Rhinolophus ferrumequinum: one gene and its partner. The protein of the gene in region 1 interacts with the protein of each later gene in a pairwise test. Links are inferred from orthologs where the notes say so. Each region holds a gene or a part of one and is shown on either strand. Other genes may lie near its edges.

Region 1 (16,424 bases):
TAAATATATTTTAAAATTTTCATAGCAGTGGCTTCCTAAGCTTTGGGAAGGGGCAGGGGATTAGGGAATGTGTGAGTCTCAGGAACTACAGGACCAACACAACTTTTTAAACCACCAAGTGTCTGATACAAGCTATAATATCAGGGAATCACAGAAATATCAAAAAATGGAGTCCAAATTGACTCTGAATAATTATGAGAAATTGAAGATTAACAGCTTCAGTTATGTATAACTGAGCTTGATTAATTTCTTCTCCTTCCTCCTTTTGACGCTTTATTTATGTGCACACATCACACCAGGGTAAACTACCCCACTGGATTCAAAAGCGACATTTTACCAAATTAAGCTGCTGTTACTGCTGTGAACCGATGGCCCATGTTCTCCACCCTGTGAATGGAAACTCTCTCAAAACTTGAGGGCAAGGGGTAGGAGCAGTCAGATAACCATGCACATAGGATGGTTCCCTGTGTAACCAATTGCCTTCTTGCAGCTCCCCCTGAAGCTTTACCAGCAATGTAGTAGTAACTGCTACATGCCATCAACATCATATCCTGAAAACGAACCTCTAATGAAAGACAGTAGCTTTTCTGAAGATAAATATAAGGTAACATTACACACAAATTTGGAACTATGTACAAGCAACATGGTTTGTGGAATGAGCACTGGACAGGAAACTAGGAAGTCTGAAGTTCCTATCCTACCACTTGCTAGCTGGGTCCAATTAATTCCAAACTGGCATGCAAAAAAATTACTATTATACTCAAGAATTTGTCCACCTTTTCCCAAGCTCCCTACACATTTTTAAAACCTACGTTATTTGGGAAAAACAGATGAATATCCATTTAAAATTTAAAGATGCTCACTTATTTAAGGAGAGTAGATACTGGAGAATAGACAAGCTTCCCACACAGTGAAGAGATTCAAGTGGTACAGCTGGAGAAGTTTGGTGGATAGAGAAAAGGAAAGCAACATCAAACATAAAACCAATCGTTAAGCAAAAACAAACAAGAAAAAGCAACCATTCTTCAAAATGAGGGAAACAAATAGCTTTACCCTGTCTTCCCTAGGTAATACCTGTTGCTAAGGCCTGTTGCATTGATGTTTTCAGAGATTCCTTTACAGCCTTTATTTTATCCAGAAATGTCAGATGGTAATCGTCTGATTGCTGCTTGGTTGACTGTATTGCATTATCCAACTGAGTCAGACTGTGCTTTTCAGAATATACTGGAGAATCCAGAGCTTGTTCAGGTAACATAATCTCTTCCAGAAGCTGTTCTTCCTCATTTATCTCCAGGTTTGAAGCGCTCTGGTCACTCTGCGCCTCTGAACGCACTTCGTGGCCCCCACCAGATGGTTCTGGTTCAGGCTCACTGTCTTCTGGTTCAGGCTCATTTTCTTCTGGTTCAGACTCATTGTCTTCAGTTTGATCTGACTCGGGAAGGTCTTCTGAGGGAACTGGAATAGTGATCGTCTCATAAACACCATCTCTTTTTCCTGGCGCATCAGGAATATTCTGAGCAGTAAATTCTTCCTCCTGATCAGACATTTTCCTGAATTGAGAAACATAATTTTTACTGTACATAAAAACTTCTACACCAAATATCAAATTCAATGCTGGCATACAGTAATGTTCATAATATACTATAATGGTGCTCATTATTTTTTTTAATATTGATTATCTTAGTAATGTCATCAGGTAAAAACATCAGTGAATTTTTAATAAGAACACGACAGAAAGTAAAAAAAATACACCAAAAAGAGAAATTCAAAGCACAATTTGAGAGAACTCTTCTGTGAAGGACATACTGAAAGCTATTTTAAAATATATTGTCATCTCTTCCTTATTCAGTAAATGTTTGTGAAAGAAGGACTTTTCGAATAACTGTTTTCTGACTACAAAACTAGCACAGGATTTATGCTCTGGCATTACAGTTGATTGGAAGCTCAGGGAACGTGCCAGTTCACACAGCAACTATATCCTAGGCAGTACACACTCCCTGAAGTAGCTTTGCTCGCACGAGTGGTAGCAGAGGTCTCCAATGACCTCTGTCCCCCCCAAAACAAATATACCAACAAACAAATGCGCGCTGATCTTAGAGCTGACTGGGGTCTGAGCTCCTGCAACCAAGAGCTGTGGCTCAGGAAACAGTGTGACAGTGAGCGTCCAAGGGCTGGGGTCAGGGTGGCCCAGGGCAGCCCAGAACCAAGCTGCAGAGGCAGGAGCAGTTCAGAGGAGTGAGGAGGCAGTCAGCAGGCAGCTACCAGCAGAAGCTAGCAGCCAGGAAGGGGGTACAGAGGGAGTGGCCTCCAGGCTGATTTCTGTGGCAACCAGCAGGGGGGAAGATGAAAACTTGGAACAGTAGTTGGGGGGGGAGGTGGGAAGCTGTGTTTGGGGCTTCTACTTTAAGCACAAATCCTTATGGAAAAAAAAATTAACCTTAGTCAGTGAAGTTCTCTGGCTACTAGATGACAGACTACCAAAAAAAAAGAGAGTATATGGAATAAAAATATATAGGTGTTGAATTCAATGAATTGAGTCGAAGAGAGAATGAGTAAACTGGAAGATAAATAAAGAGATTTTTATAGAGAATGTTTCAAAGAGATAAGGATGTTGAAAATATGAGAGATTAGAAGCCATTGAAAAGAGAAAAAGTGCAGTATATTTTTCTGCTAAGCATATATCTTATTGTGAGCTAAGAATGGGTTTATATTGCTAAAATAAAGAAAACAAAGAATATGCAACAGAGACTGCATGTGGCCTGTGTAGTCCTTTACAGAAAAAGTCTACCAGGCCCTAATCGAGCATATGTCAAATTAAAGTCCCAGAAGGAAACAGAAAGATGGAAGAAAAGAGATATTTAAAACAGTAATGGCTGAGAATTTTTTAAAACTGATGAGAAATGTAGAACCACAGATTCAGGAAGCACAACATAAATCTATACCTAACAGGATAAATAAAAATAATTCATAGCCATATACATTGTAATTAAATTACAGAATAACAAAGAGGAGGTCCAGAAAGCAAACAGTGATAAAGCACATACCACCTACTGTTTTGAATTATATTAATTTGCTGACATTAATACAGAGCAAAGAAAAGTAAAATCACTGCAGATTTCTCATCAGAAAAACAGAAGCCAAGGCAACAATGTGAATAAGACAACTATCAACCTAAAATAGTGTACCCAACAAAACTATCTTTCAAGAAAGAAATAGAAACGGTATAATAACTTACCACCAAGATATCTGCTGTAAAGGAACTTCTAAAGGATACACTTGAAGGAGGAGGTAAATAGGCCCAAAGGAAATCCGAAGAGCAAAAAGGAAAGGTGAACAAATAAATCATAAATATATGGATAAACCCAAACAAATATTGTCAACACAAAATAATAGTAGAAAATTAAAATATTAGACAAAATATGTAATTGGGAAGAGAAAGATCAGAATAAACAGTTCTCAAATCCTTATACTGTTTACAAAATTGGGGGATATGATATTCTTAACCCTAGACTTTGTTAAATTAAATATGCATAGTTAAATTTCAAGTACAACAAACAAAATAACTGAAATAAAGTTTTAAAATTCCAAGACAATAAAGAAGGAAAAAAGTGAAATAAGATAAAACTGAACAAAAATTCAATTTTTAAAAAAATTCAAGAAAGCTCTTAAGCCTTCACCCACAAAAAAAATGTTCCTTTTTGTTATTTTCTCCCATAACAGAGATTACGGCCTGATTAGAAAGAGAGTATCGTAAAGAAGCCCTAACTCCTAGCAACGGATTCATCTGCCCTTTTTTGGAGTAATGCTCTTGTTTGGCTCTATCTGCCGAGCCATCATCCCTCTAAAATGGCAAAGATGGAATCTTCTAAATCAGCAACAGCAACAAAATCAGAACTTCTGCTCAAAAGACACAACTAAACGAAAAAGACAAGCCATAGAGTAGGAGATATATTTGCAAAACTCATCTGATAAAGGACCTATAATCAGAATATATACAAAACTCTCAAACTCAATAAAAGTTTTTTTTTAAAAAAATAAAAGATTTCAATAAGACACGTCACCGAAGAATATACACAGAAGGCAAATAAGCAAGGCCAGATCTAGGCAAGAGTGGTGCTGCACTGAGAAGAAATGCCTCCTAAAATTTTGGACCTAGTTGCCTCAATTGCCTTACTCTAGTCCTGGCCCAGAGAACAAATATGCTCAATGTCATTAGACATTAGAGAAAGACAACGTAAATCACAATGAGAATCCATTACACACCTATTACAATAGTTAATATATTTTTTCAGTCCAACAATATCAAGGGCTCATCCAGGGACTCTGGTCCCACTCCCCGCACAAGAACGCAGGATATGGTGAGGTCAAAAAGGAACACCAACGGAGCCATGGATGGGGGTTCATACCACTATATTCCTGCTGGCGGCTGGTAGAGACACAAAAGCAAACATCTGCCAGCGCCCCAACACGGGGTCTTCCTGCACCCCAGTCTCGCTGGCGGCCGGGCAAGACACAGGAAGTAGGATCCACACGATGTGTAATCCACCATCCATGCTTGCTAACCCCACTTACTAGCCGCAACCCGCCGCCTGCTTCTCTGCCAACCAACCAACCCCTTGCTACTGCAATCCACCCCTGCTAGCTTACCCACGGCAGTTATATCAGTGGCTAATGGCTAACCAGTAACAGCTGATGGACACCCAGCTGTTGGCCACCTCACCCATTCCATGTGAGGCCGAGAGCCTGGAAACTGCTCTCTGGGATTCTATCCCCACAGCTAGTGAGTACGAAGACAAGTAGCTTTTATACCTTGATGGTGAAAATGAAAATTGGCATAGGATTTGGGGTAACTGTTTGTCAGTTTTCTTATAAAATTAAACATACACTTCATATTACTCAGCAATCTGTGTCGTTACCCAAGTGGAATGAAAAACTACATTCACATAAAACCTGTACACAAAAGTTTATAAAGGCTTTATTCTTAATCACCAAAGACTTGAAACACAAATGATCCTGAACTGATGAATGGATACACATACTGTGATGCATTCATAAAATGGAATACTATTTGGGGAGGCTGGATGGCTCAGTTGGTTAGAGCGCGAGCTTTTAACAACAAGGTTGCCGGTTCGATTCCCACATGGGCCAGTGAGCTGCGCCCTCCACAACTAGATTGAAGGACAACAACTTGACTTGGAGCTGATGGGCCCTGGAGAAACACAGTTCCCCAATGTTCCCCCCCAAAAAAAGTATCCAAGAAACTTATTTTTTTTAAAGGAATATTACTCAACAATAAAAAGAAATAAACTGATACACACAACAACATGGATGAATCTTGAATTATGCTAAGAAGCCAATTCTAAAGGCTACATACCATCTGATTCAATTAAGTGAAGGAGCAAAGCTGTTGGTGAGCAACCGCCAGCGCTCCTGGGGTGAAAAAACAGAAACTGCCCCTTGCCCCCGTGTAAGAGAAGGAGAAACTGAAAAAAGAGGCAGACCACTCCAGTTAGTAAGTGGCAGTTTTAATAAGCTACCGAATTTACGTAGGAGGCTTGTCTTGGGCAGCTGCAAAAGGAGTAAGTAGATCTCTGCAATCCCCACCAAAATCTTAAGAGTTTATATAGAGGCCTTAACCAGGCTGAGTTGAATACAGACCAGATGGTCTCAACAGCACATTACTCTCTCAAGGACTATTTTCATCCTTGAAGCACCTGCTACTACAGGACGGGACCCGTGGGCAGAACCTCCAAGGGCAGTGGAGGGGGTAAGGAACCTCCAAATGCTCCGTCCAGTTCCAGGGTCAACCCAGTCCCATCCTCTTGATGGCCTCCAACAGCACAGGCCGGCATGTATAACACAGTGTTACAGGCACCAGTAGGACATATTCGTACATGCACAGACTTTCTCTAGAAGGTGAACTGGAGGACGACGCGGTGGGGGAGTGCTTGGGTGGAAAGCAGATCTTCACTGTTCATTCCTTTTACTGTTTCACTTTTTGTCAGGTTTATGTATCATCTATTCAAAAATAAATGTTTTCATCTTTAAAAATTGTTTAAAAAGGCAAAGCAGTCTCTATGATGATTGCATACAGAAAAGTCCCCCTTTCACCAACAAAGCATGATGTCACTGGCAGATCTAGAATGTTAGTGTAAGTAGGAAGGCAGGGATCCAGTTCTGCCTTCTACCAAAAAAAGGCGTGAGTTTTAAAGTGTTTTAAGCGGCACAGCAAAGACCACGGGAGGAGAGGAGGGAGAGAGAGCCAGTGAGGCACGTCTGTAAGCCCTCTAGTTACTAAAGAATGAAAACGGTCACCATGGAAGGCTGAACATTGTCTAATGCCAGGTCTGGGTTACACACACATCTTGTTGCTACACTATGAAGGTGAAAAGCCCCAGGGGTGAGAGGGGAGGTACGCCTCCTAGCTTGCTGCTGCTGCTTCTGCTTCCGAATCCCAAATCAGAGCTGCGGAGCCAGAAATGGAACCAAGAAAGAAGGGATGCTGTGCACGGATTTTAAAGTACAAGTGGCACATTCCCGACGAGCCAAGCAGTCCCGAGTCCGGGCGGGACAAGCGCCCGGCACACGGTCCTCGGCGTCCACTGCTGCAGTCACTGACTCCAGGCCGGTCTAGGCCGAGCCAGCAGAGGGCAGCCAGGCTCTGTCCTCCTACCTGACCAAGACACGCAGCTACGCCGGTCGCAGGGCTTCCTCAAGCTCCTAGAAAGCAGCGTCCGCACTCCGAGTCTGTTGCCGGCGGTATCCCAGCAACGACCGTGGCACCACCTCCTCCCGCCTCCGCACCGCTCCCGCGAGAATAGGCGTTTCCCGAGCTGGAATGGTAGGGAGGGCGGAGCCAGGCGGCGAGGGGCGGAGCCAGGCGGCGAGAGAGGGAGGGTGGGGCGGGGCAAGAGGCGGGGAGTGTTGTTACTTGTTAGACCTCAATTATTGGACTCTAACCACTCTGCGAGATCCCTTTTAACACTTGTGAAAGGGCACAGTTCTCCGAGCCAAACACTGTATTTGCCCTTACAGATATAAAAAAATCAGGATTACAGAAAATATAAATATGTAATGAGAGTGAAGACTGACAAAGGAAAACACAACACAACAGTAGGTACCTACGTATTTTTGTTAAATTTAGAACTTGTCTCTTGGCTTCCTGGCATCCAAAGAGAAAAGGGAGACAGGAGCTACTAAATTCCTCTTTTAAGTCAGGAGAAGCATAGCTTTTGTTAATCACTAAATTATAAAGGCTTTTTTATTTTCCTATCACTATAAATTATTCAACTTGAAGTTTTTAAACTATTGGGGGAAAGTTATATTCCTATTGCAAATGTAGTAACAAACGTAGTGTCTATTTCATAATAATAGCTAACATTTATTATTTGTTACTAAGCACTTTATATTTCTAATTTAATCCTTACAATGATTTTAAGGAAAACTAATCAGCCCCACATTACTAATGAGGAAAAGGTTTAGAGGTTTAGTGAGGGAGCCAGGATTAAACCCAGCAGTCTGAATTCAGAGCCTCAATTTTAAACCACTATTCTGTGCTTCCTTGGTTAACATCCTTTGCTATTTAAAAAGGTTGTAAGATTAAATAATAAAATTAAAAATGTTGTTATATATAGTACAGTTCCATCCCTCCTTCATAATGTTCAATGTCTTCCCTCCTTTGTATCAATTCTACTGAAATTGCGTTCTCATCTCCCAGTAACTTCCTAATGTCCAATGTCATTTTTTCAGTCTTCATCCTACTTTAAAATATACTACTAGAAAAATACATATTATATTCAGATAAAACTGGCTTTAATAATGATTTTAAATAAAGCAAATGTATTTAAATCACTGCATGAATCCATATTTATGAAGACCAGACAAAAGGAGGGAAAGGACCATTCAGATAAACACTAGGTTTAGTCCTTTATGGGTAAAGCAGGTGTGATCAGAGGTGTGCAGACAAGTGCTTCCAAACACACCCCCACCCCCATCTCCAAAACCACAATATATCTTAATTTTACTAGTAATGAGAATTCCATTGGTTTTAAACATTCACCTTTCTGGGTCTCCTCTTTAAAATTTATCATCCACTGCCTTCCACGTTAGGGACAGTATGAAAAAAACTAGGTTTAGGCATAGAGGCAGAAGATGAAAGGAAGAAAACAAGGTGGTAAAGAAATTTAAGTACTTCAAAGTGTTAAATGTGACTAGATACCCACGATATGTTCACGTTTTATGTATAGTTTTCTGTGGAGATGATTTTAAACAACCACTTGAGCCTAACTTAATTGGTAGGCTTCCCAGATAGTCCATTCTGGTTATTACTGTAGCACATCAAAATCATACACACACACAAATATATACTGTAGTTAATTGGTTACATAAAATGAATGTAAATGCAAGCTGAAAACAACCAATGGGAAAAACTCTCCATTCTAAAAGTGGAAACGTAATTTTATATCACTTTCCATTTACTTTTCACAATAAACCTGTACATTTTCTCAGGATTTATTGCCCCAAATAAGTTATGTTTCTCACGAAACATGTCTTTATTTATCTCAGCACTTATTTACAAAATAAACATTTCTCTTAATGTGATTTTATTTTTACAAAGATGCTACCTAGTGGCTTTATGAAATCAAGCATATCAAAGTATTTCCCATTGTTACTTCAGACTAAAATGTATTTTGATGTAAATGAATTAGGAAAAAATATTAGAATTTAGAAAACCAAGGACTTAAAATTATGCTTTGGAAATTATCTATATGTATTAAATTTGGATCATAAATTTGGATCAGGAGCTTGTTAAGAGACTGGAAATAGCCAGTATATCCATAGTCCCTTTTCTGAAATCATAGGGACAGATGTGTTTGAAAATTGGGATTTTTCCCATTTTTAAAAGGTGTATTCTGTCACACATTCAGTGAGTCTGGAGAAGTAGAATCAGAGAAGCAGAATCAAATACATTAGTAGTTATGTGGCAAAATATATTCATATTCACATTAAAGTAGGATAAAGACTACTAATAGCCTTATGACAATTCTGGTCAGACTTTACATCCAATGAGTTATGAAAAAATATTCTGTTTTCAACATATTTGGAGTTTGGAAATTAAATAGGAAATTTTCAATCTGTTTTACCCTGAGTAAAAGAACCAACTCTCCTGTTACAGGAAAAGAAAAACAAAAGAGTAAAACGAAATATTCTGTCATAAAATAGTAATGTTTATCTTTATAAATGCCTAAAATGTTTATCTGGAAAAAATATTTGAAGATCATGAGAAATCCCAAAAAAGAATCTCTGCAATGCTTTTCATTTACAGAGTCATATACAGAAAAAACCTATTCCACCTAAATTACATTTAAACACACTGCAAAAAATTAGCTGGTAATATAAACCTAAAGATCTCTGAAAATTCATTATTAGCAATGCATGGCAAGATAAATTTGAGTTCTACAGCACATTCAAAATTTTTTTAAACTTGGTTTTCTTTTTTGTTTCTGTGTGTGATGTGTCACGTTCCCTTTCTCCTGCCCGTGTTTGTAGCCCATGACATGTTGACATGGCGCCATCCTCAGCCCAGATCCCTTGTGACTCTTTTGAACACTGTCAACCCTCATTAGACATGTACACTCCTATGAGTAAGAAACAAGCTTTCTTTGTGTTAAGACTGTGGGATTTGCAGGTAGCCTATGCCAACTCATTACTTTTCTCACTACTTTTTTTACTAACTAGGTTTCGCTTGTTACCTCTAAATAAAGAATGGAGTAAATTTCTCCAGTACCCATCAATAATTCAAATCCCGTGTCACATCCCCACTTTCATTTCTTGTGAATTCTTTTTAAAATAAACCTCTTCATCCTCTTCCAAACTCCTATCTTCTCATTTACTTTTTTCCTCAGAGTATTACTATTATTGGAGCACAGGTTGTAATCCCATTGAGAGCCAAGTTTGAAAGGAAATTCTGCCCTCAGATGCAAAAAGCATTCATGGTTCAGCAACTTAGCACTTTACCCTAGATCCTTATAATACACTTGTATGGGAGGGTTCTTTAACTTCTGTTTCTTTATATTAACTATGGAGGCTGGGAAGAAAAAGCTGGTATTAGCCTATATGTGCGAGTTTTCTCATACAGAATATTGTTGGTTTTCTCCCTTTGAAAAAGAAAGCATGAGGCCTGATATAGGTAACTGGGGAAATGGCATACAAGCTCCAAAGTCAACTCCTGTTGGAGAACATGTTAAGGAAGGTCTTGCAAGATTGGAGGTCTTGGTTTCTCAGAATAGTGAAACTGAACTCGTGTCTTCATAGAAGAACTCCTGGGAAAATGGAAGAACACAGATTGACTGGAATACCACTGTGGCTGTCAGATGGAATTAGAAGAACTGGAACAGTGGGAAGACCTCTTTGAAATGCTTGCTGAAGCATCAGGTGAGGAAACGTAACTTCTAAAGGCAACAGGGCAAGTTTCCACTGTACTAAGTCAGCTACTTAAGAATCTTGATCTCCATTTGATGAAAGACTGCTTTCCTTTTTATCTGGTATCCTAATCCTCATTGTTCTGCGTGCAAATAAACCTGCTTTGCATTGTAACAAAAAGCTCAGCTTCACCTTGCTAACTGCGCTTTAGGATTAGAAAAAGAAGTAAGACAATCAGAATAAGCGTCTTCCATCACTCAAATCTGAGGAAAAGGCAAGGAGAATAACAGTGATGGGGCCCAGTGAAACCGGAGGCCTGGTGGCACATGATGGCTGCCACTAATGGCATCATATTCATTCTATTCAGGTGACAGACTACTCCAACTTCGCCTGGTATAAAGGATGGCAACCCTCAGAGCTGAACCTTACTCCAAGTTGGTGTCTCAATCCAGTTTACTACTTCTGTTCGTATTTGTTCTTTATAGGTACTTTGACAGGATAACATCAAACCTGTTATCCTTATGAAATTATCACTTCCCTTCACAATCGAAATCATTACAGTTTAAATGAAAAGTCTTATGGTTATTCAGATACAAGTCATTTTCATCCCAAAGAACAGAATACTCAGAAATTTGAATATTCTGCACTCAATCCACAGCTAGAAGAAAGGGGGTATCTATTTTGCTGCCATTTTCTTTGTTTACAAAGCTCAAATGCATTAGCTTTTTCTTTTAAACTATCTGGAGTATGGTAATTAATGTAATTAACTTGAATAAAACATATGGACCTAGGGAGAGCTGAAATGGGCCATTCTGAAAATTACTCAAATTAGTCTACAAGCCACTTAACAACACTAAAGACCTTTAAATAGAAGAATCATCTCCAATTAATCAGGAAAGCTTAATCGGGAAGTTTACAGGAAGCAACCGGAAAGCATTTGAAGGGGTCCGGATGTATGGGCAGTTAGAATGGCAGTCAGTAAATGTAAAAGGATGGACCATAATGCCCTTCAGACACACCACTGGCTGCCTGTGATCCAGGTGAAGATGTTCGCACGAGATGAAGTCCAGTTTACTACGCCTGCTCATATGTGTTCTTTTTGATAGTCAGGAGAGCAGGATCTAGGTTGTTTTGGTGCAGCTCACACAGTACAGGCAGGACCGCCAGCATCCCAAGTATTCACAAGGCAAAATGTAAGGGTGAGAAGGATGAGTTCTGGAGCAAGACTGTCAAGTTCAAAATGTAGCTCCACATCTTAATAGCTATGTGACCTTGGGTACGTTGTTATACCATCTCTGTGCTTTAGTTTCTCCAAGATCCCCATGCTGCACAGTTGCAGGGGAGCACTACTCACACTGGATTCTGGTTTCCTTATCTGGAAAATGGAGATAATTTGCAGGATCGCAGTCTTAGAGCTGGAGTGCAGATTTAATGAGTAACATTAGTCAAGTACTTAGAACACTGCCTGACAAACATTAACAAACATTGGCTATTATTTTATTGCTAATACTCCTCCTATTCTATAACTAGCATTTCTAATGCAGACATCAATAAGGTCCCCTTTTATTAACAGCCACTGACGCTCTATATAAGATGCCCGAGAATAATGGGAGAAGTGGGCTGAAAGTACTGACAAAGACACATCAAGCCAGCTTTGTTTTTATGTGCCCAAAGGACTGAAAGAAATGATTAGAAAATTAGCTTGAAAGCATCTATGCAAACATGCTTTAGGATATTATTTTCTTAATAAATCTAATGAATTATGTCTTAAAACGAATATTTATAACCAAAAAGAAAGTTAAAAATCACAAATTCTACTTCTTTTACAGAGAAAGAAATAGGCATTCTGAGAGGTTGACAACTTACCTCCACTTAGTCATGGAGTTCATGACGGTGCCAGAACCATGGGAATGAGAACCCCTGGCCTTCCAACTCTCCCTCCAATGCTTTTCCCACTTCCCCCACGTAAGCCTTCTCTTATAGTCTGACTGCTAAAAAGTTAACTAAACCCACTTCATTTAATATTTATTTAGCATTTAATTTACAACTTTATACGGGGAGAAATATACTGGGGAAAATACAATTATTTTTCTCATTCTGAAAGATTCTGCCTTGCCACAAGAAATAGCAGGATACACATGCGTGCGTGCACGCCCCCCTCACCCGGCCAAAAGTACTATTTTTGAAGGTAAGAAATACCAAATTTAGCAGAATACTTAGAAATCATAGGGGGCTAGGAAGAAAAGGTGAGAACACACAAGAAGTAATTTTATTTTTGTTTGTCAACTGCTTCTTTCCTTGAACAGCTTTTATCTTTTTTGATATCCAGGTGCACTTATACTGGAAACTTAGTGAAAACTAGTTAGTGCTTCCACTTTCAAGTTATAACTATACAAAAATGTTTTGAATGTAAGTCTATCTGTATGCCAGATAAACTTTAGAAACTTTTAATATCTCCTCTTTTACAGAAATTTTCTATCTTGATGTAGTTTGGTTAATAAAGAAAACTAAAAGGCGAGGGTCAGAAAGCTAACTTCTTAAATGAGACAAAAGTTTTTCCAACTCCCGTGTTTCCCCGAAAATAAGACCTCACTGGAAAGCAAGCCCTAGCGTGACTTTTCAGGATGACCTCCCCTGAACATAAGCCCTAATGCATCTTTTGCAGCAAATATCAGCATAAGACCCAGTCCTATTTTCAGGGAAACACGGTACCACTATAAATAAGCAATCTTTCAAATACCAATTTCCTCAACTGTACAATGCACTCTTAATTTAACGGTTTTTACTCTTACTACTTCACTTTAAACAATGACCTATATAAGCAATAATAATGATAATAATAATAATGATACTACTACTACTACTAATAAGTACCTTTCTGTTTTTTTTTTCAGAATAAAAAACACTAAATGATGTGCTGAATACTAAAAATACTTCAGACTTCAAACATGGCCTCTGTGTTGAAATCTACAGGAATTTTTCTAATTAACCTCCAAATCTCCCACATCTGTTTGAAAAAAATATCATCTTTGAAATAATTTGAATGAATGCTCTATAAACCAAAACTGATTCGTAAGTTCCTATTACATAATCATCAATTTTAACAAGTCTCCTAAATATGTTTATATCAATTTTTTTGATTATAAGATGTCAATAACATGGAAACATTTTTGATACAACAGAACATTTAATTATATCATTTTCCTGTCAACACACAAGTCATTTAATCATGATTATATTGGCCATTTCCACTGGTTGGCAGGAGGCTCTTCCACTAAAGGCTCCCATGGTTTCCATTGTAGCATTTTTCTTGCCAGACTTAGTTCATTTTCAGCCTGTTAATAAAATTTTTTTAAAAAGATCATTTGATTATACTGTTTAATAGATAATTATCATAGATAATAACTGAAATGTAACTATATAGAGCTCCTACTTTCACATTAAAACCTAAATAAGCTACTCCATCATCAAATGTTGAACATTAATTAAATTACTGTAATTCTCACAGCTACGCAATCACCATAAAAAAGGAAGGACAGCTTTAGATTTCTTCTATTTGTTTAAAATTTACTATAAGAGTGTTCAAAAGTTTAGTTGGTGAGTTTTGAATCTTAATTGTCTGTTTCACCATCAGAACACAAATTCTGGAGGATCAAAAGTATGTCTCTTCATCTTTATCAATAGCTCTCCAACTTTATTTTACCCTGGCCCACAATTAAAAAAAGAAAAGAAATACATTTTACTAAGGGATCCACAATTCGCACATATAACTCAAACAAAACTAAAAATATCATTACCTTTACTATATAGCTGAAATACACTATTTTCTATTGTAGTTTTTAAATGCTAGTTACAAACCACCTAACTGATTTCATAACCCATCGTCACTGGAGACCACAATTTGTAAAACTGTGCTGTATAGAATGTAGAACAAAATAGGTGCACAAAAAAAATATATTTATTGTTTGAATTAGTTTTTTTAATCAGATTATGTTACATTCAATTTTTCCTTTCAAACACAATTTTACAACACCTTTAACAAATATATTTTTAGGTATCTTTTTATTTCTCATTTTTTCTTAGAACAAAAAGACCTATGGTGACAACTCTGGCCAACTTAAGACACTGTTGAATACTTGTCAGGATGTCAGGAAAGGAATTCAAACACAAAATAAATGCTGAGGTTCTATCAGAGTCTGTAAAGTTAAAAGGCAATGCCTCATTTATGCCACTGGTGCGAAACAGCCAATCTAAGTTTAGCAGTAACAGTCTAAAATGTATATAATCAAAAGAGTAGATTAATGGAAATCTGGGGGTAGAAGTATTTACTAAAACTGACATGAGAAAACTGCATAAATACTGATTTAAAATATCCCTTAGGATGGCCGTTTGTCTGATTGCCCTTTGCCCTGGATTTCCTGAACGGTCATGCTTTCTCTATGCCCCAAGCCCTTGCCCAGTGTTGGGAGGGGATCTAGCCCTGAACGTCACTGAGGTCGTCCAGGAGCTGGACCCAGCTGCATATGACCCGCTGCCCACTCCCTCCCTCTTCTCAAGCTTCTAATACACTGTCCTTTCCTCATTCTCACGGTATCCCTCTAGAAATGTGCTGTCCAAGATGATAGCCACTACCTACATGTGACTACAGAGTAAGCCCTTGAAATGTAGCTAGTTCAAATTCAGATGTGCTGCTAGTATCAAATGCACACCAGATTTTAAAGACTTAGTATTAAAAAAGAATGAAAAATAGCTCAATATTTTATATTATGTTTCAATAATATTTTAGATATATAATTACATGATAAATTAATATATCAACTAAACTAAGTCATGATCAAAGTGAAATCAGGTAGAAAAGAAAGAGAAATAGGACGAGGACAATTAAAGTCTGCAGCAAGTTCCCATAACACTACATCTAGTACTATAGTCAACCTGGCAAATAAATAAAAAGGCCATGAAAACAGGCATTTGAACGACTGAAACAGTGTACACGCATTGACAGCTGTCTGAATGCCCTATTCCTCTTTTAACAGCCATCTACCAATGCCTCCGAGTATCATGTCTGCTGGTAAAATACCTCCCTAGTCCCTAATACTATCCAGTATTTCCTTTTGTCTGTCTTTGATAAAAGGCAAAAAAAATCTAAGAACAGTTACGTTTTTGAAAAATATCAAAAAGTGTAAAAATTAAATGAAACAGAACTGAGTATTTATCAGACCCATATACGGGGAAGGTATGGAGGGGTGGAGAAAGTGTGCAGGGGGAGGTAATTTGACCAAATAAAAAATTTAAAAACCTCTACATATTGGAGAAAATATTCAATTAAAATCAAAAGGCAAAAACAGACTAAAAAAAAAAAACAGTCAGGCATTTTTTGCAAAAGTGCAAAAGATTAAGGTTAACATCATTTATTTTAAAAAAAACACTCAAAGAAATCTGTAAGAAAAACACTAAACAAATGAAGAGTAAAAATACTAATAATTAATAAAACATGAAATATAAGAACATATTTTAAAAGTTTAACTTTACTGGTAATTGGGGGAAAAATGCACAACAAAAAAGAAAGGCGTCATTTCCCCTAGTTTAATTAAAAACTATAGTATTCTTACCAAGCCTTTAAAACCTACAAGTACTTGTATCTAATAAGTAAAAATTATTCAAATAACAGTAATATTGTGTTACTAATATGAACTACGGTGAGACTAATAAGAACATGCTTATTAAATTCAGAGTATCAAACTTACCAACAGAAGCCTCATAATTCAAGTTATAATCAATGATAAATATTTAACTGACATACAAATTAGAAGTATTTTCTATGTGTGATTAGTCTTATATTTGATGAGTTGATATAAGCAAAGAAACTGAGTTTTCCTTTCTTCCTGGAATGTCAGTTTTGTGCCTCTATACATTGTGCCTTTGAACATTTGAAGCCAAACATCTAAATATTCAACTTTTTCTTTACCTGAAGAATCACCTCTTCTATTTGGCCACCCTGGAGT
Region 2 (16,959 bases), on another chromosome or scaffold:
TAGCACAGGACAGGAACTGTCATCCCAGGTTTGGCACTGAGGGCCACAAGGAAGAGTGAACAGCTGATCAGGCCTGTCTGGGGTTTCTATTAGAAACACAGTGATAAAGAATTTTGGAATCATTTCTTCTCCAGCATAACAGCTGACCTCAAACCAGGAGCAAATGATTTCCCCAATCCCAATTTTATTTTAATTCCTCGTTTCTTTCCTCGCTTACAGAACTCTGGCTGGAGCCAATGCAAATCAGGAAAGGTGACCTCATCTAGTAGCTCTTTAGGCAGAACAGACTCAACAAACACCAGCAAAGCAGATCGTGATTCAAGTTACCTGCACGGTGTGCCCTCTCTCTGCCTCCCCCTCCAAAGAGCCCTCTCTGACCATCCCAGTCCGTAGTGAGCGCACACTCTGCTTTGAACTCCACAGCTCATTATCTGCAATTAATCGTGTACTGCTTGTAACATGGCTTCTCGTGCTCTCAAACTGTCGTTCAACTTTTTACCGTTTTTTTGTCATTCAGCTTATGGACAGAATCCACAATGAGAATATGAGTGAATAGAGGGCAGGAGCTATACATATATCACCTATATCTTTGTGTCCTTAATATCACCTGGCAGAGACCTCAACACAAACATGGCGATTGCTACTTAATTATGTTTATTTATTTTCTGAGTGGAAACTATCCAAGTCTACAAAAATCTACAAAAGCATCTCTAAAAGATGATTTAATTCTTAGACAACTACTTTTCCAAATATTCAAAATGCTCAGTCAGGCAGCTTTTTCTTCTGTATAACCCAGACCCCTCCTGCTGCATTTTAAACCCTCATTTCTGTCTATCATCTTAGTAACTGCCAAGATTGAGCTGGCTTGGAAGAAGATGAACACAGACCCAGGAGCCCAAATGTGTTTACTGTACTGTATCCACACATGGCTTAGCCAGGGCTCAGGTCCTTACAGCCAGCTTTGTTTTCCAGGGTGGACATCACTCAGTTAACTTGGCTGGAATAAGAAAGCCTTTAACCATTTGGTTTGAAAAGTCAAATATTTTTCTCACACCGTCACAAAACATATCTGCTTTGTTCTAACTTCTTAACATGGAGAGAGTCTTAAGTGTTTGGCCGATAAAGATGGACCCTGTACAGTCAGCCTCATTCTAAGAATGACCCTCCGAGTCTATGACATTTATTAGAGAAGAGATGAAAATAGATGAGTTTTGAGTTGGCCTCCAAGACCACCACCGAGAAGCCAGCTAAGCTTTTTCCCAGCCTGATACCCACACTTTTAAACTTCACCCCCAAACTCAGGTCCTATCAGGTGTTTCAATACCTTGTTGGGGAGAGATTCTTATTAATGGGATTGGCAGTTAAAACACAATTAGAAAAAAAAGACACAATTAGATATACAAAAAGGACATTCTGTGAATACTGAGTCTGCAGTACAGTTCCCGCTAGAACTAGGCAGCTGGGAATTCATCTAGAACCCAGTATGTGGCAGAAGAACAGACAGCGTCCTTTGCCACATGCTTTCCCATCAGTCACGAGTTCCTCCCGAGCCCACGTACAGGGCTGCTCTGAATATTACTGAAGGCAGAAGGGTGAGAGTGGGCAATCCTGGGCCTCAGGACTCCTACCCTCCACATGTTAGGTGCAGGTGGGATAAAAACAGGCGACCTCAGCATTCTCACCATCCTTCACTGAACTATGACCATTCCACTCAAAAAGGACGCTGGTGCTACCAAGAACCTGGCACTTGCCATTTCCCTTCCTCCATTTGGAAAGCCCCACTCCTCTTGTTTGATCATTGACATTCCACCCTTTCTTTAATATCTTGCTCTATGCCCACCTCGCTCAGGACATCTTTCTGATTAACCCCGTATGCTTCTGACTTCATCGCATGATGCGTTAAGTACCCTTAAACTCATGTGTCCTTCAATGGATTACTTGCTTGCAAGTAAGTATTTCATCATGTTTGGGAGCTTACCTGCAAGCGAAGGCAGTGCTTATTGCCAGAGCTAATTTTGCATTTCCTTGTTCTTAGGTCTACCTCAATTCTGCCTCCCCTGATGAAACCTGTTCCGGGCTCCAGCTCCCACCTGAGATTGCAGGAATGTTCAAGACTCAACATATCACTTCTAAAGTAGCACCAGGAACCTTACAGTGCAGCCAGGCCACGGAGAGCCACACTCTACCATCAGAACTTCCCCTCGAGCCCCAGAGCACACATATTCCGTCCTACTCACATTCCTATGAATAGCTTGTCTTCTCCTCCACTGAAAAAGTGGAGAAACTGAGACTCAAAAATTTTACCAAAACCCTAAGCCTTAAAAATAAAAGTAAATCAGGGGCGGCTGGATGGCTCAGTAGATTAGAGCGTGAGTTCTGAACAACAGGATTGCTGGTTCGATTCCCACATGGGCCAGTGAGCTGCGCCCTCCACAACTAGATTGAAGATGAGCTGCCGTTGAGCTTCCAGAGGGGCGGCCAGATGGCTCAGGTGGTTAGAGTGCGAGCTCTCAACAAGGTTGCCGGTTCAATTCCCATATGGGATGGTGGGCTGCGCCCCCTGCAACTAGAGATTGAAAACGGCAACTGGACTTGGAGCTGGGCTGCGCCCTCCACAACTAGATTGAAGGACAACAACTTGGAGCTGATGGGCCCTGGAGAAACACACTGTTCCCCAATGTTCCCCAATAAAACTAAAACAAAAAAAACTAAAGAACAGAAAAACCAGCAGAGGCTTCTTGGGAATGCTAATGTTCTCTTTCTTGATTTGGGCAGTAGGGAGATGGGCTGTCTGTTTTGCTACTGTTATTTAAAGTGGACATATCTTTTCAGATACTTTCATATGCATGTCATATTTCAGTTTAAAACAGTGCCTTTCCCACTGAAGGTGCTCAGTGCCTGTTGACCCATGATTCTTCTCCAGTGGGCTTTCTACAGGAGTGCTGAAGGAACACGGGCCATTCATGGGGGGGGCGGGGGGGCAGGCTGAAGCACCAGCAGGGAGAATCATATAGAATTCAGATGTGACTTTCCTTCAGCTATCTGGCTCCTAATTGCTTTTCCTGACCTTCCTAAATCGGCATGAAGACCAGCATATGATGGGAATGGAAGAACACCAGTCAGAACCCAAGTGAGTCTTGGGTTAAAAGCACATTAAACCAGGACTGGAATAATGGCATTTTAAGCCCCAACCCGACCTTTTTCTTGCAGGAAAAATAGGAATGCTGCTCAGAAATCCCTGGGGAAATTATTCGCAGGGGTTTCGTGAGGGGAAAGAGAACCTCAGGGAAGGCCTCTGGCCAGCACATCCAGAGACTTCCTTTCAGGAAAGGCTCAATTCCTCCAGTTGTACCAGAGTTGGGTGGGGAGAGGTGAAAGTGGGGAGAGAGGTGGTGAGGTCAGGGGTTTCTTCCCCTGTCTTCTGGCTTCTAAAATACATCAGGATAGAACCAGCTGACTTATGCTTAGCCACTCATCCTAGATCTCAGCAATATCTATAACATGCTGTATTTTTAACAGGAATGTATGCTCCATGTTCCTTTCTGCAGTTTTCCCCTGAGCTCCTCCCCACTCCCATTCTCACTGGAGCTGGCTGAGTTTTCTTGCTGGAGAATTCCAGTGTACTTTTGGTCAGGCAATACTCTCTGTGACCAGAAATCCTGGCATGGCATACGTCCCATGTAGCAGGGAATCTGGTAGCAGCAAAGGACTGGATAATGATGACACATGAATCAAGACATAGGCTCAAGGGGTTAAAGAGGAACTGGGGGTGTGACTCTAGGTTATTGGGCTTCTGCTGCAGGAGTGTCTAATGAGATCTCCCCAGGTCATGCCAAGTGCGAGGAGTAGCTGAGAAGGCCCCCAATATAGCTGCATAAGCCTCCTATGGGGCAATGTCCATTTTCAGGTTACTTTTCAGTTACAGTTTTATGTATTTGTTTGTTTGTTTGTTTATTTTTAAGGAGGGTACAACTGACAGTGGCCCATGAGGGGATCGAACCAGCAACCTTGGTGCTATTAGCACCATACTCTAACCAACTGAGCTAACCAGCCACCCCATTCAGTTCCAGTTTTATGATTGCTCTTTTAAGACTGCTGCTTAACTGTTTTTCCTTCTTTTCACTGGCCCGCCCCACCCCATAATCACAAATCCCAGGCTACTGCAGCAGAAATTTACAGTGTAGATTGGGGTGCTCCACAACACTGAAGGACCATGGAGGGAGACCATAGGAGCTCCTGGCACCTCCAACTGCCGCTAGTGAGGGCATCATTCGGATCTCTGGCAAAGACTAAAATTCTCTCCTCTCCCGGCAACCAACCTCAATGGAGGTACTTCAGACAAAGCCTCTTATTTTCTTGTCGTTTTTGTCAAGATGATTTCCCCCAAAGCACTTAATCCATCACAATGCCTAGAGCTGTTACAAGAAAATAAAAGTGGGATTAAGGGACCAAAAGTTCCTATCTCCAAAGTTTAAAATGAAAACAAAAGCAAGCCAGAACTGCTGGTCCTACCTAGGCCAAACACACGTGTGGGGTGGGGAGGTGTTAAAAATTAAATTTGCTCCTTTTTGGTACAACCATCAAGTCTAAAACAGGGGTGATAGCTTCTGCCCAGTGCTAGAGCCAATGACTGAATTTTTCCATCACTAGCAAACTGTGCCAAACACTGGAAAACAACTTTTCCAGCATTAGAGAACATGTTCAGACATACTTCAATATTCCTAGTCCCTTTCCCCAGAAAAAGGCTCAGAAAAGTTGAGTAATTTGCCTGAGATCACACAGCAAATCAAGTTGCGATAGCCCCTAAGCTCATGTCTTGTTCTGAAGTCCATACCCTGTAAACATGTGAGAAAGCTGACAGAGATAAACGGGAAAAGCCCCCCCAGTCTCCCGGTGCTTCCACTGAGCAGGCAGCAGCTATGTTTTTTCCATTTAGCTGCCATCCTGGGTCAACATAGCAGTGATCAACCTTGGTGGTATGTTTTCTTGGGAGTGGGGGGTATGACTCCTTTTCTCAAACCTGGTCTTAATTCTGGTTCAGGGAAGTTCAGTATTTAATATCAAGCGTAGAGTTGTTGCTGTAACTGCCACAACCAGAATGAAGGTGTCACCAGAGAGAGAGACAGAGGTATGATATAGGGTGGAGGGGAATGAGCTTCTTCAAGCAGCTTTATCTACACAGACAGACACTGCAGCCCCCACTCCACAACCAGCTCACCTATCCTCATGAAGGGAACCGAACTGGGAAAATGAATGGAGCTGGCAGTTTACTAGAGCTGTCATAAGAGCTGGAGCATGAGGAGTTTCCAAGGCTGCCCCTCATGGACTCAGAGCGAGGGTCCCATCTGGTCAAGAAATCAGGGTTTTCTGGCCAGACTCAACTGAATCAACCCAGAATGAAGCTGAAGTCTGCAGCAGAAGGCTGGCCCCTACCCACATCAGCATTAAGGACACCCCTGTCCCTTTACCATCTCATTTAAAATAGGACCCACACCTGAGCACACAGGGTGGGCTCAGGGGTGACAGCTGGGCCAAGTGTCCTGTTACAGCCTAGCCAGCAGAGCTCATCTTTAGACATAAGGCTAGTCTCGAACCTCTGAAAAGGGCAGCAGCAGAACCAGAGGTCACATTTGAATAACTACTACAATTTTTTAAAGTACGCACAAAGAGTTAACTGTCCCCCTTCTCACCTCTCCCCAAGGAACACAAACAGGTAACACACACACACAGGTTAAGAGCACACTCACCTGCGCTCTGACTTCCTGACTCTGAGCCGCTCAGGCCAAATGAGGAATGTCATTGGCTTATTCTGGTGAGCTCCTTAGTGGCTGCTGCTATAGGATACAGGCTTTATTTAACATAACAGAGTTCTTTGCTCCCCTAGCAAGACCTTGCACCCCCTCTGGAGAAAATCTCTCTGAGGCATCAATTTCCAGGGTATCTAAGTTCCTTCCTCCGGCTGACATCATGTCGCTCAAGCTGGTGGGGAGCTGGCTTGAGAAGCCTGAGCGTGCAGTCCCTGTGGCAGCTCCAGCAAAGGTGCATTATTTATCCCAGCTGCTGTTTTAATTAATATAGAGACATATTCAATACAGCTCCATAATAGTCCCGGCAACCTCAGGCCAGGAAATAAACAACTCCCAGCTGCCTGTGATAGGCTCTTTCCGCTTCTGGTTCTAACTGCCGGCTCAGCATGTGTGCAACTTGAACCGAGGCCCCAAACCAGCCCAAGCACCAATCGGCCACCTGTCAGTTCTCCACCCTGGGGGTTGGTTCCGCAGGCAGGCAGGGATCTTCAAGCACTGGCTTAATCTCTGGCTCCACCTAACGGCAAGAAATCCACACTCCCCTTTCACAGATGGACAAACTGAGCTTCATCCAGGAAGGTCCCAAAAGGAGGAAACTAAAACAGCAAAGGAAACTAATGGTCCTCTGCTTGGCCTTCCACGCTGTCATTTTCTTCTCCTATCATCCTACAAGAGGGAAAGTGATGTCAACTTTTTAGTTAGCTTCTTGGATTTCTCCAGCCCTTTGTCTGAGAATAGTACTTCACACACATCATTCAAACAATCTCGGATGGGTGAGTCACTAGAATGTCTGCTGAATAATGAGGAATAAACAGAGGCCTGAAATGGAGCTGAACGACAGAGGCACAAATGGTACCTGACGTCCAGCCCAGTGTTCTGGCCCAACATCCTCTCTGACCTTTGCCTGGCTTCCCCATCACTTGTATCCTGTTAAAGCACTTCTGCGTTGAGCGGGAAAAGCTAAGTCACTGGCTAGGCTGGCCAGGGGAGGGTCTGTGCTCACCTTTAAATCCGGAGGCTTGCTTCGGGGACCCGGGTTTGGCGCCACCGCAGCGCCCATGTCCGAAGTTGGCCCGCCAGCAGAGTTAGCACCCGTGGCCTCCCCAGGCCGGAGTTCCGCGCCCGGCAGGTGGCAAACGGCATCTTCCAGGCCAGCTCCATCCTCCTCGCCTTGCTGTTGCTGCAGCTCATCCGATTTGCACCTCTTCATGATGTATGTGGGGCGGCCAGGGGATTCTGCCCTTCTAGAGCGCTGTCCTCGGGGAGACCGCACCCCCTTACACTCAAAAACGAGGCCCAGGGTCTAAATGATTAACGAGGAAAGGAATCGGCGGAAGACAATTTCTTGAATTAAAAAATAAATCTTTTTAAAGAAGGGGGAGGAAGGGGCGAGGAGGGGGAGCGTTGGTTACAGCTTGGAATAGTTCATTACGACCTGGGGAGCGAAGGCAGGGCACAGCCGAGGCTGGGCAGCAGGAGTCCTTGGGCAGTCATTGGAGCGGGAGGAGGAGGACGGTCCCTGGCCCCCGAACTTTCTGCTTCAGGGCATAGGCAGGACGGGGGAGCCTGGAGGCACAGCGCATCCCTCCGGGTTGCCCGGGCTCTGGGCGAGGCAGGGCAGGGGGCAGCCGGCCGGGCAGGTCCTCCGCGGCCGCCCTCAGCGCCGGCTGCGGCCCCCGGCCCTGCCCCTGGCCCCCGCCCCGCATGGGCCGGTCGCAGAGTCCGCCGCGAGCCCGGCCCCCTAGCTCCCCGCCCGCGCCCGGATCCCTGCGCCCAGCTCCCCACCCGCGCTCTGCCTGCTGCAAAGCAGCGGTCGCGGCCCCAGCCAGCGGCAAGCGCAACCTAACATGCCGGTAAGGGGAAGGCGAGGCAAGGAGGGAGTGACAACGGCAGTGGGCCAATGGGAAGCCCAGAGGGCCGAGGGGGCGTCGCGCGGCCACGTTTTAGGGTTGGTTGCGCCGCGTGAGCCCCCAGGAGAGGACTGGAGGACTGTGCTGCTGCGTGTTTGCGCTGCGGAGAGCGGCTGCCGAGTTGAGGCGGGGGCGGCGGGCCACCCGGGACCGGTATTAACAGATGCCGGAGGGACCCTCCCGGTAAAGGCACTCTCCGGATATCCTCCACCCACTCGTTTTATTTGGTGGGTAGGGGGCTCAGTAGGGATGCTTTCTCATCACTGCTTTTTTTGCTCTAACTTTTCAGTTCATGTTATACTATACATCCCTTCAATGAGGAAGACCCCATCCTTTCTAGGAAACATGGTCTGAAACACAAACTTTTGGCTATATTCAGCGCTACAAATGCAAAGGGTGGAGGTGTTCTTCTGCCCCATCTCTCCTTTCCCCACTTTAAGTAACTCCAGTATGAATCTTAGCTTGATGCTCAGAAATGACAAATTAAATATATTTGAATACAATAATGTGTGTGAAAGTTCCTTGCAAACTGTGAAGCAGCTCTTAAATAAGAAAGGGTATTAAATGGCAGGAGATTGAGACATATGACAGAGAAGGAAAAGAATGCAATCTCTTTTTCCCATAAATCTCAGCCAAATTGCACTGAGTAATCTGGAGGCAGAAGAGAACAAATACTGGGGTTATCAAAGTATGGAGCCTAATAATAACAACCCCCCCTGAGTGCCTACTGTATGCTTACTGGGGATAGGAGTTTTTGCCCATCCAGCAGCCTAAAACAGTGGTTCTCAAAGTGTGGTCCTGGGGCCAGCAGCATCAGCATCACCTGGAAACTTGATAGAAATGCAAATTATCAGACACCAGCCAGACCTACTGAATCAGAAATTGTAGGCCCAGAAATCTGTTTTAACAAGTCGTGCAGGTGATTCTGACACAAGCTAACATTTGAGAACCATTGGCCTAGACTGTAGTGAAGGAGCCATTAGTCAGTGAGTCACACAGTGATGATCTCTACAGCATTTTACAGTTTACCTATCTCTTTTACACCCATCATGCTATTCTAACCTCACTTCAGTCCTACTAGTCTGTGAGTTTCCTGACTCTGTTCTGTCTTTTTCCCATTCCAACCACTCATTTTGATGTGTATCCTAAAAGAGCCTAAATTGTTAAGAATTTACTTCAGTCAAGCAAGCTACTTTCTAAACTAGGCAGCTCCATTTTTAGAAGATGGGAATTGAAGATGGGCTGGAAATGTAGAACCACCCCCCACATCCACTACACAGTGTTAGACACAATGTAGAAACACAAGATATGAGCCTTAGCACTTTCAGTGGTGAGGGAAAGGCAGAATGCCTTGAAGAAGGAGGCAGAACTAGACAGAACCAGTGGGGGCAGATTCCCAGGTTGCAAGATGTCAGACAGGTGTCTGCTGCCTGACTGGCCTTGAGAAGTGGAGGAGCCCCACAGACTCCAGGCGAGTCTTGGGTATCAAGCAGTGGCCAGCAATGGTGAGCACATGTTTATGACCTGCCTCTAAGCTGAAAAAAGTGGAGGAAATCGGTGTGAAGATTTAAGGAAGTGGAGACCATTAAATTTTGACTTATGCCTCATTTCTATACTAGACTGAAGTTGGCCTCAAGTTTGGTTTTTATATTATGTATATATAGCATGATGGCCAAATTTCCTATTTGTGGCCATATTTAGCAAGGTATAATACAGGTCAATAAAATGTCTGTGGTGTGTTTCATGAAATCAGGTAATACTTTACATTCCATTTAGGAGAGGCAGACTCTCGTGGCCAGACTGCTAGGGACAAATCCTGGCTCTGCTCTCTACTGACCATTGGAGGCAAGTTGTCTAACCTCTTTATGCCCAAGATTCCTTATTTGGAAGTGGGAATACTGATGATACCTTAGACAACCTTAGAGGGTGTTGAGTAACATATGTAAGGTACTTAGACATTGCCTGGCACAGAATGAGGGCCATACCTATAATCAGAGATGTCATCCAGTTTCAAAAGCATCACACATTCCACTCCAATGGTTCTATCCTTGGGAATTCATTTAAATGTATCTCACCCATTACTGACTTTAACTGAGTGTCATATTATAGAACAAATTGCTGAGGAATTTGGGTGGGAAGTATATAGAGTTTGAAGCTGAGAGCACATTTTCATTAGCCATAGTAAATTCTTGAGTACCTAAGATAAACAGAATCTGAAAGGACTTTGGTTGAAATGTTGTTTAAAGGATCTGATCATTCTATTGTTTTAGGCTTCTTTGGAAAAATATAGGCACATACTATGTTTTGATGTTCAAGATAGGACAAAACGTTGCAGATTTACAATGCAAGAGATTACATTTGGTATGTAGGAGTAGGATTTTCCATTCTGCTTTGGCACCACTAGTTAATTACAAATAAATAACATGGTGCAGTAAGAAGGACACTGGTCTTGGGGTTAGAAATACATGTAAGAATTATGGTTCTGTTACTCCCTGTGTGTTCTTGGGCAACGAAATCACTCAACTTCTCTCACCCTTGGTTTTCTCATCTATAAGCGGGACTAATATTACCTATCCTCACATAGTTATTGTAAGGATTAAACTAGATAATGCATGTGAAAATGCTTGACGCATAGTGTGTGTGCCCAGTACACTTGAATGAAACAAAGTTAGTGAACAAACGTGTCTAACCCCCTGTCTGCCACATGAGAAAGGCAGAATTGTCCTACTAAACTTAATGCTATTTGTGGAAGGAAATCCCAGTTAGGCTAATGAAAGGGGGCACACCTGGTGGTATCAAATTTGTTAAACCAGTAAATTGTATAAACAAGGAAGGCAAAGATCAGGGTTGTGGAATCCTGTTCCCTTGTCAACAGCCAGTTCATTTAGCTTGATAAACTGATTAAGTTTTAATAATAGAGGATAAGTTGCCAAGATCAACAGGTAAGCAAGGAGTAGGTTTTGGGTTGTTGTTGTTTTGTAAAAGCAATTAAGTCTGAGAAATAAAAGCCTTCCTTTTGCCAATAGTAAGAGGCTTGTAAATTATCCAAGAAAATTGTTTCCTACTTTGTAGGAATTCTTAAAAAAAATTTTAAACATCAAATGAGTAGGTAGTTTTCAAAGAACTATTTTAACATACTACGTAGAGTGTTTTCCTTAGAAGGTGAAAGCACTCTCTAGAGAGACTAGATATAATAATTTGGATCACTGTATTTTGATACCAACATCATTAAATATACTCCTTTGTTAATGTGATTTTCCTCCCTTTCTTTTGGAGATTTCCACTTCCACTCAATGCTCTCCTTAAAAGAAATTGCGTTCTGCTGGATTAGGAGGAATAAACTATGCAAATAATCGTCAGGGAGATTGGTTAGATTGTTGATGATGTCACAATCCCACCACCAAAATACAGGCTTTTTATTGGCTATTGTAAGAGGCAGGCAGGACTGGGAGGGCTCTCCTTCACTCCTGAGTTGGAGCTAGCTCTGAGACTAAACAAATTTTATCCTGTTGTTTGCTTAAAATGTACTCAGAAGCATTTTTCATGTTATTACATTTTTCCATGTTACTCCATTTGCTACAACTTGGTCATATTTCCATTTTAAATGACTGTTTATCATTCTATCAGGTGAATATACCACAGTTTATTTAACCTCTAGCCACCTTATCCTTAGAGAATTGTTTCAATTTTTTGACTTCAGAAATAAAACTGTAATTACTATTTTTATTCAGAAATTGTATATATTATTCCTCCACAGCATAGAATCTCTGGTACCTGTCAATGTTTTAAAGGACTAAACGAAACAAACAAAGTGCCCCTCTAGTGACCATTTCTCTCACAACATCCCTAAGACCTGCATAGGAGACCCCAGGGTCTGTCTGACTCCGCACTGGTGAATCTCCTATTTGTACTACAAAAAGCTGGAAGTTCCTGCTTCTCATTTCAGGTAGGGTGCGTATTCCTCATTCTGCATGCTGTTCCTCCTCGGTAATCGGAGAAAAGTCACAATCATCGTGACCACGAACAGAGGAGGTTTGTGAGGCATAAACTTAAACCCTGATTGTACTGCTCTGTGTGAAAGCCTGGGGCTGCTAAAATGGCTGCTTTGTGTCCTTTCCCATCTGCATAGGGAATCCTTACAAACCTCTGGACAATCTGTTACTCAAAGCTAAAAATGCTAGACCTAAAAAAAATAAGAAAGAAGAGGAAAGAAAGCAAAAAAGAAAGAAAGAAAATAGCTTTGCTCAGAGAGAATCAGTTGTTTATTATTTTACTTCTGAAGATAAATATCAGTGTCAGTTCCATCTATTATTCTATATGGCACTTTTAGCTATAATAAGAGCAAGAAGCTACCATTTAAAGAGAACCACAGATGGTAAGCATTTTGCTAGGAACCTTGTGAACTCTCTTACTTAATCCCCACAACAACTCTTACAAAGGCAAGTGTTATTCCCACTCTACAAAAGAGGAAACAGGCTCTGAAAGATTATAGTACTTTCATAGGCCTGAGATCTGCACTGTACTCTGTCTCCAACCCTAAAGGCCTAATATCTCATCATTTCTTGACTGTAATTCTGACCCACTCTTGTGACAAAGAATTTATCAGTGGGTATTAGTCTACAGTTAAATGAACCTGCATTCATTCAAATATATTTATGAAACATATCACGTACAAAAGCTTTACAAGATGCCTGTGGAAGGTAGAGAACAATAAAAGACATTGGTCGCTGCCTTTCTATTTTAAAAAGTCCGGTTGGGGAAATGAGACAAATGAAATATAAAACAACAGCACAAGATTGAAATGGTAATGTCTGTCAACACTCTGAGAGGGATATAATTAATTAGCACAGTCCGGAGGAGAGAGACCTCTGTCATCTCATTAGGATGACTCTAAGGAAGAATTATTTACACACAGTCATCCTTACCATGATTGCTGAAAAGATAGAATGTTGCTTTAGGATGATTCTGAAGCCTTTACGTAGGTAAGAACTATATAAATCATCTTGAATATAGAATCTCTCAGTATATGAATCTCTTTAATTTTACATCTGCATGTTACAAGGATTTTATGGTGTATTAGTGATGGGAAATACAGTTTTTATTTTTATTTTTTGAGACCACGGGACAGTGTTTCTCAAAGTATGGTTCATGGGCTACCAACAGCATAAATCACCTTGGAGTTTAGGTAGATAATACAGATTCCCGGGTCCCACCCCAAACTGATGGAAACAATTTCTGGGGATGGAGCCTGAAAATCTGCACTTTTAACAAGTGTCCTAGGTGATTCTTATGCACATTGACATTTGAGAAACACTACACAGGAATAGGGGAATACTTGGTTGATCACATTTATTGATAGATTTGTGAATTAATAATATCTTCTATTTATTGAGCACTGACTGTATGCCTGGCACGCACTCACATTTAGTCTGTAAAATGAATGTAGTAGGTAAGTATCGTAACCTCCATTTTACAGTAGAAGAAACTGAGGCTCAAAGACAATTAAAAACTTGCCTGAGGTCACCTGGTTAGAAAGAGCTAGTCAAACCAGTTCTGCTTGTCTTCAATGTCTGTACTTTTCCCACAATGCCTACTGCAGTTTTGCCAAGGGATGGAGTGCCTATTATATGTGATATAATTTCAATCCAAACCTTTCAATACCCTCAAATGGTACTCTTGTCATGTAAGATAACTCAAATTCAGAGACATTAATCAAAGACATTGATATGTATCTCAAAATTACCTTCTACCGGTTGGAACAGAGCTTTCTTAGTCTAGAATGGCTTTTCCTCACTTTTGCTTCCTCCTGCCAGTTCCTAAAACCTTTTACAGGTCTGACTGTTGGGATTTCCTTTCTTTGGTGAAATTTATCCTAACATTTTGCACCTACTTTGGAATGGCACACCATGAGTTGGAGTCTAGATTTCCTTTCTAACAGCTATCAGAACTTTTCTGAACACAGAATGAGAGTTACAGTCTGAATCAAGAGGGAAATGTCAGTTGCTTGAAAAACCTTCTGCTGATCTTGTGACTAAAAAGAGAAAAAGACAACTTAATCAGGGAAGCCTCTCCTGGGAAAGGGAATCACACTGTCCCATGTGAGATCTCATTCTGGAGCACGCATACTTATAAGTCATTTTCAGGGAGTCTCAGATGGCCTGGGGCATACCCAAGTAGCAAGAGAGACAAAGGGCTATTTTCACGGGTGAATCCACCCAGCCTTGCCTTGTACCTCTCACAGGGTGCTGGGGAAAGAAGATAGTACTCTCTTTGAAGATGCAATGACAGTACAAGTCAGCAATATATAGCTAAAGCCATATAAATGTCTGTACCCTTTCACCCAATAATACCCTCCTGGGCATTATCCTGGAAAAGAATTCAAAAGGAAACAAGCAACAACACAACAAACAAAAATGTTCATAACGAAAATCTGGCACAACCTCCATGTCCAAGAATAGTGAATGGCATAATAATACAGTGGAATGTTATGTTGCTATTAAGAGAAATACATATAATAAATACACATAAACACAAAAAGCCTTCTTTAAATAATGTAAATTGAAAACATTAGAATGTAAAACTGCATTGAGCTACGAGTAGAATAAGGGCTTTGGAGTCTGATGAACCTGGATTATTAGCTGTATGGATCTCAATTTCCTTGTCTATAAAACAGGGATAAAAATATCCATCTTTTCAGGGTTGTAAAAATTAAAGATGGTATAAACTGTATGAATAAAATCTGGATGAACCATGGATAAGCGTGGGAAGGGAATGCTAAGAACCGTTAAGTTTTACACTAGAATATTGGACTACTGAAAATTTTATTTGAAATGAATTTATTTTTATGATGTTTTAGATTTAATACTATTTTTTCCTTTATTTCTCTACACCCTTAAAAAATTTCAAGTTTCCTATGCAGGAGATGTGTGCACATGTCATCTGGAAACTTTCCTAAATGGATCACTATGCCCTATCTTTTTTTTTTCTACTAAGCCCTATTTTGAGAAGGCCCTTAGATCAGTGCTTCTGCGATCAGCTCTAGGAAAATGATAGAAGAAACCTGCCAATACCATTTTCGATGTCACCTGACACATCGGAAGGTAGCTTAGCTAGGTTCCAGGGCCTGTTTTCCAAGCACTTAGATGTTTATGTGAAGCTTGTTAGGTAGAGCTCCCTCTCTCCTCTACAATTTGGGGATGGGGAATGTTCTCACGATCAGGATGTCTTCCATCCACCTTTGCTTCAGAATCCTAATCCTCACTTCCATTAAACCATCTCTGTTCAGAGCTAGATTCATGAGAAAGGGGGTAGGCAGGAAGATGATATGAAAGAAATGTTTTCTTTCAGATGACATATATTGAGCACACTTTGTTTCAGGCATTATGTTTGGCACATATGGATAGATACATACTAAGCCAGTTGGAATATGTTTCAGAAGTCAGGTTTCAGAATCTTCTAGAAAACCTCTACCAAGACAACGGTGACATAGAAAACGGTATTGGCAGGTTTTCATCTATTCATCTTCCTCCATCCAGAATCAGCCCAGAGAGATAAAAATTGCAAGGTTATATGCTGGGCAGGTAAGAAAATTACCCAAAAATCAGTTCCACTAAACTGTAAGGCAACATAGCGGAGAAAGAATCAAAACCACAAAACCACTTGGACTTGGAAAAGCAATATCAATCTTCTAATCTTACTGATAAGCAATGAGTTGTGGCAAAACTATATTCAGGACTTCTTCTGGAAAGCTTTGGATCAGTTACTCTAAAAAATTTCTGGAAACTTTGTTGTTCTGCTTGGCAGTAAAACAAAGATTATCTCTGGGGTTACACCAAATTCCTTTTAATTGATTGTGTTTCCTCCCCATGTTCTGCATCCTAACAGCCAGGGATACCACCGATGAAATATTCAGCATTGGCGTGATACTTGATGTATAATTAAATAGAATGCATTTAGCAGTTCAGTTTTATAGACCTTTGATCATCGAGTTAATAAAACTTCATGTGGAGAATCTCATAAACAAAAAACAAAATATTCTTGGAAATACTATCCTCCTTGGAAAAATGTATAATCCTGAATGTGAGTAATTACTATAGATAGGAAAGAAAACATTTATTAAGCACTTCTATGTTTCAGGCAAGGTACCAACTGCTTTACACATTATGTCATTCAATCTTTACAAGCCTGTGAAGTAGATATTAGCTCCACTATACAAATGAAGTAACTGAGGCTCCAAGAAGCTAAGTCATTTGCTTAAGATCACAAAGCGAGCAGCAGCACAGCCAGTACTGCGACTCAGGTCAGATTCTCTCTGACTCTCAGGGTTTTCTCTAAATTTAACTTCCAAAGCACTTTTCATTTACTATGGCTCATTCCATCTTCCCAATAACAGATTGCTGTTGAGCGTAATCATAGGATTCTCCCTTACACAGCCAGGATTAGAACCTAGGTTTATAGCAATCACACCATCTCACAGTTACCTTTTATTGAGCGCTTTCTATGTGCTAGGCTCTGTGTGAACATTTTTTATACTTTCCTCCCATTTTAATCTTCAAAATAACCTTATGAGTTGGGCATTATCCCATTTGATGGATGAGAAAACCAAGACTCAGAGAAGCCAACAGCTTGCCCAAGATGGTAACGTAGCAAGTCAGGATTAGAATTCAAATTTGTCATAATAACACAATTGATAAAATCAGCCACCATTTATGAGTCAGATACTGCTTTTTATAAAACAATTTGTTTTGATATAACTTGAGATTCATAATTGGCATTGCTCTTTTAAGGCTCACAATAACCCTACTGAAGACGGTACTATTATCCCCATTTCACAGATGAGGAACTAAGACTTAGAGAAAATAAGTAATATCTCCAGGGCATACAAATGGGAAGACGGTAGAGCGAAGATTTGAATGCAGGTCTCTTGGACTCCAAGCCCGTCTTTTCTTCTTTCTTTCTTCTTTCTTTCTTTCTTTCTTTCTTTCTTTCTTTCTTTCTTTCTTCTTTCTTTCTTTCTTTCTTTCTTTCTTTCTTTCTTTCTTTTCTTTCTCTCTCTCTCTCTCTCTCTCTCTCTCTCTCTCTCTCTCTCTCTCTCTCTCTCTCTCTCTTTCTCTCTCTCTCTCTCTCTCTCTCTCTCTCTCTCTTTCTCTCTTCTTCTCTCTTCTCTCTCTCTCTCTCTCTCTCTCTCTCTCCCCTCCCCCTCCCCCCCTCCCTCCCTCCCTCCCTCCCTCCTTCCCTCCCTT

The links.
Region 2: the proteins of IQUB (region 1) and TMCC2 interact in a two-hybrid assay, tested with the Homo sapiens proteins (2 studies listed by BioGRID and IntAct). The two-hybrid records come from large-scale screens. The link is inferred for Rhinolophus ferrumequinum from reciprocal best matches to the Homo sapiens genes IQUB and TMCC2.

The regions. Positions count from the first base shown.
Region 1 is NC_046309.1:20,955,254-20,971,677, reverse strand, and holds the start of IQUB (IQ and ubiquitin-like domain-containing protein), read right to left. Parts: upstream 6,757-16,424; 5' UTR 6,674-6,756; intron 1,551-6,673; 5' UTR 1,547-1,550; coding exon 1,075-1,546; intron 1-1,074. Other genes in the region: NDUFA5 (NADH dehydrogenase [ubiquinone] 1 alpha subcomplex subunit 5), read right to left, coding at 13,656-13,757, 16,388-16,424. UniProt on the Homo sapiens protein: Adapter protein that anchors the radial spoke 1 (RS1) complex to the A microtubule of outer doublet microtubules in axonemes. The triple radial spokes (RS1, RS2 and RS3) are required to modulate beating of the sperm flagellum.
Region 2 is NC_046305.1:25,949,063-25,966,021, forward strand, and holds the start of TMCC2 (transmembrane and coiled-coil domains protein 2), read right to left. Parts: upstream 7,495-16,959; 5' UTR 7,243-7,494; exon of another isoform or gene 7,111-7,242; 5' UTR 7,018-7,110; coding exon 6,811-7,017; intron 6,474-6,810; exon of another isoform or gene 5,748-6,473; intron 1-5,747.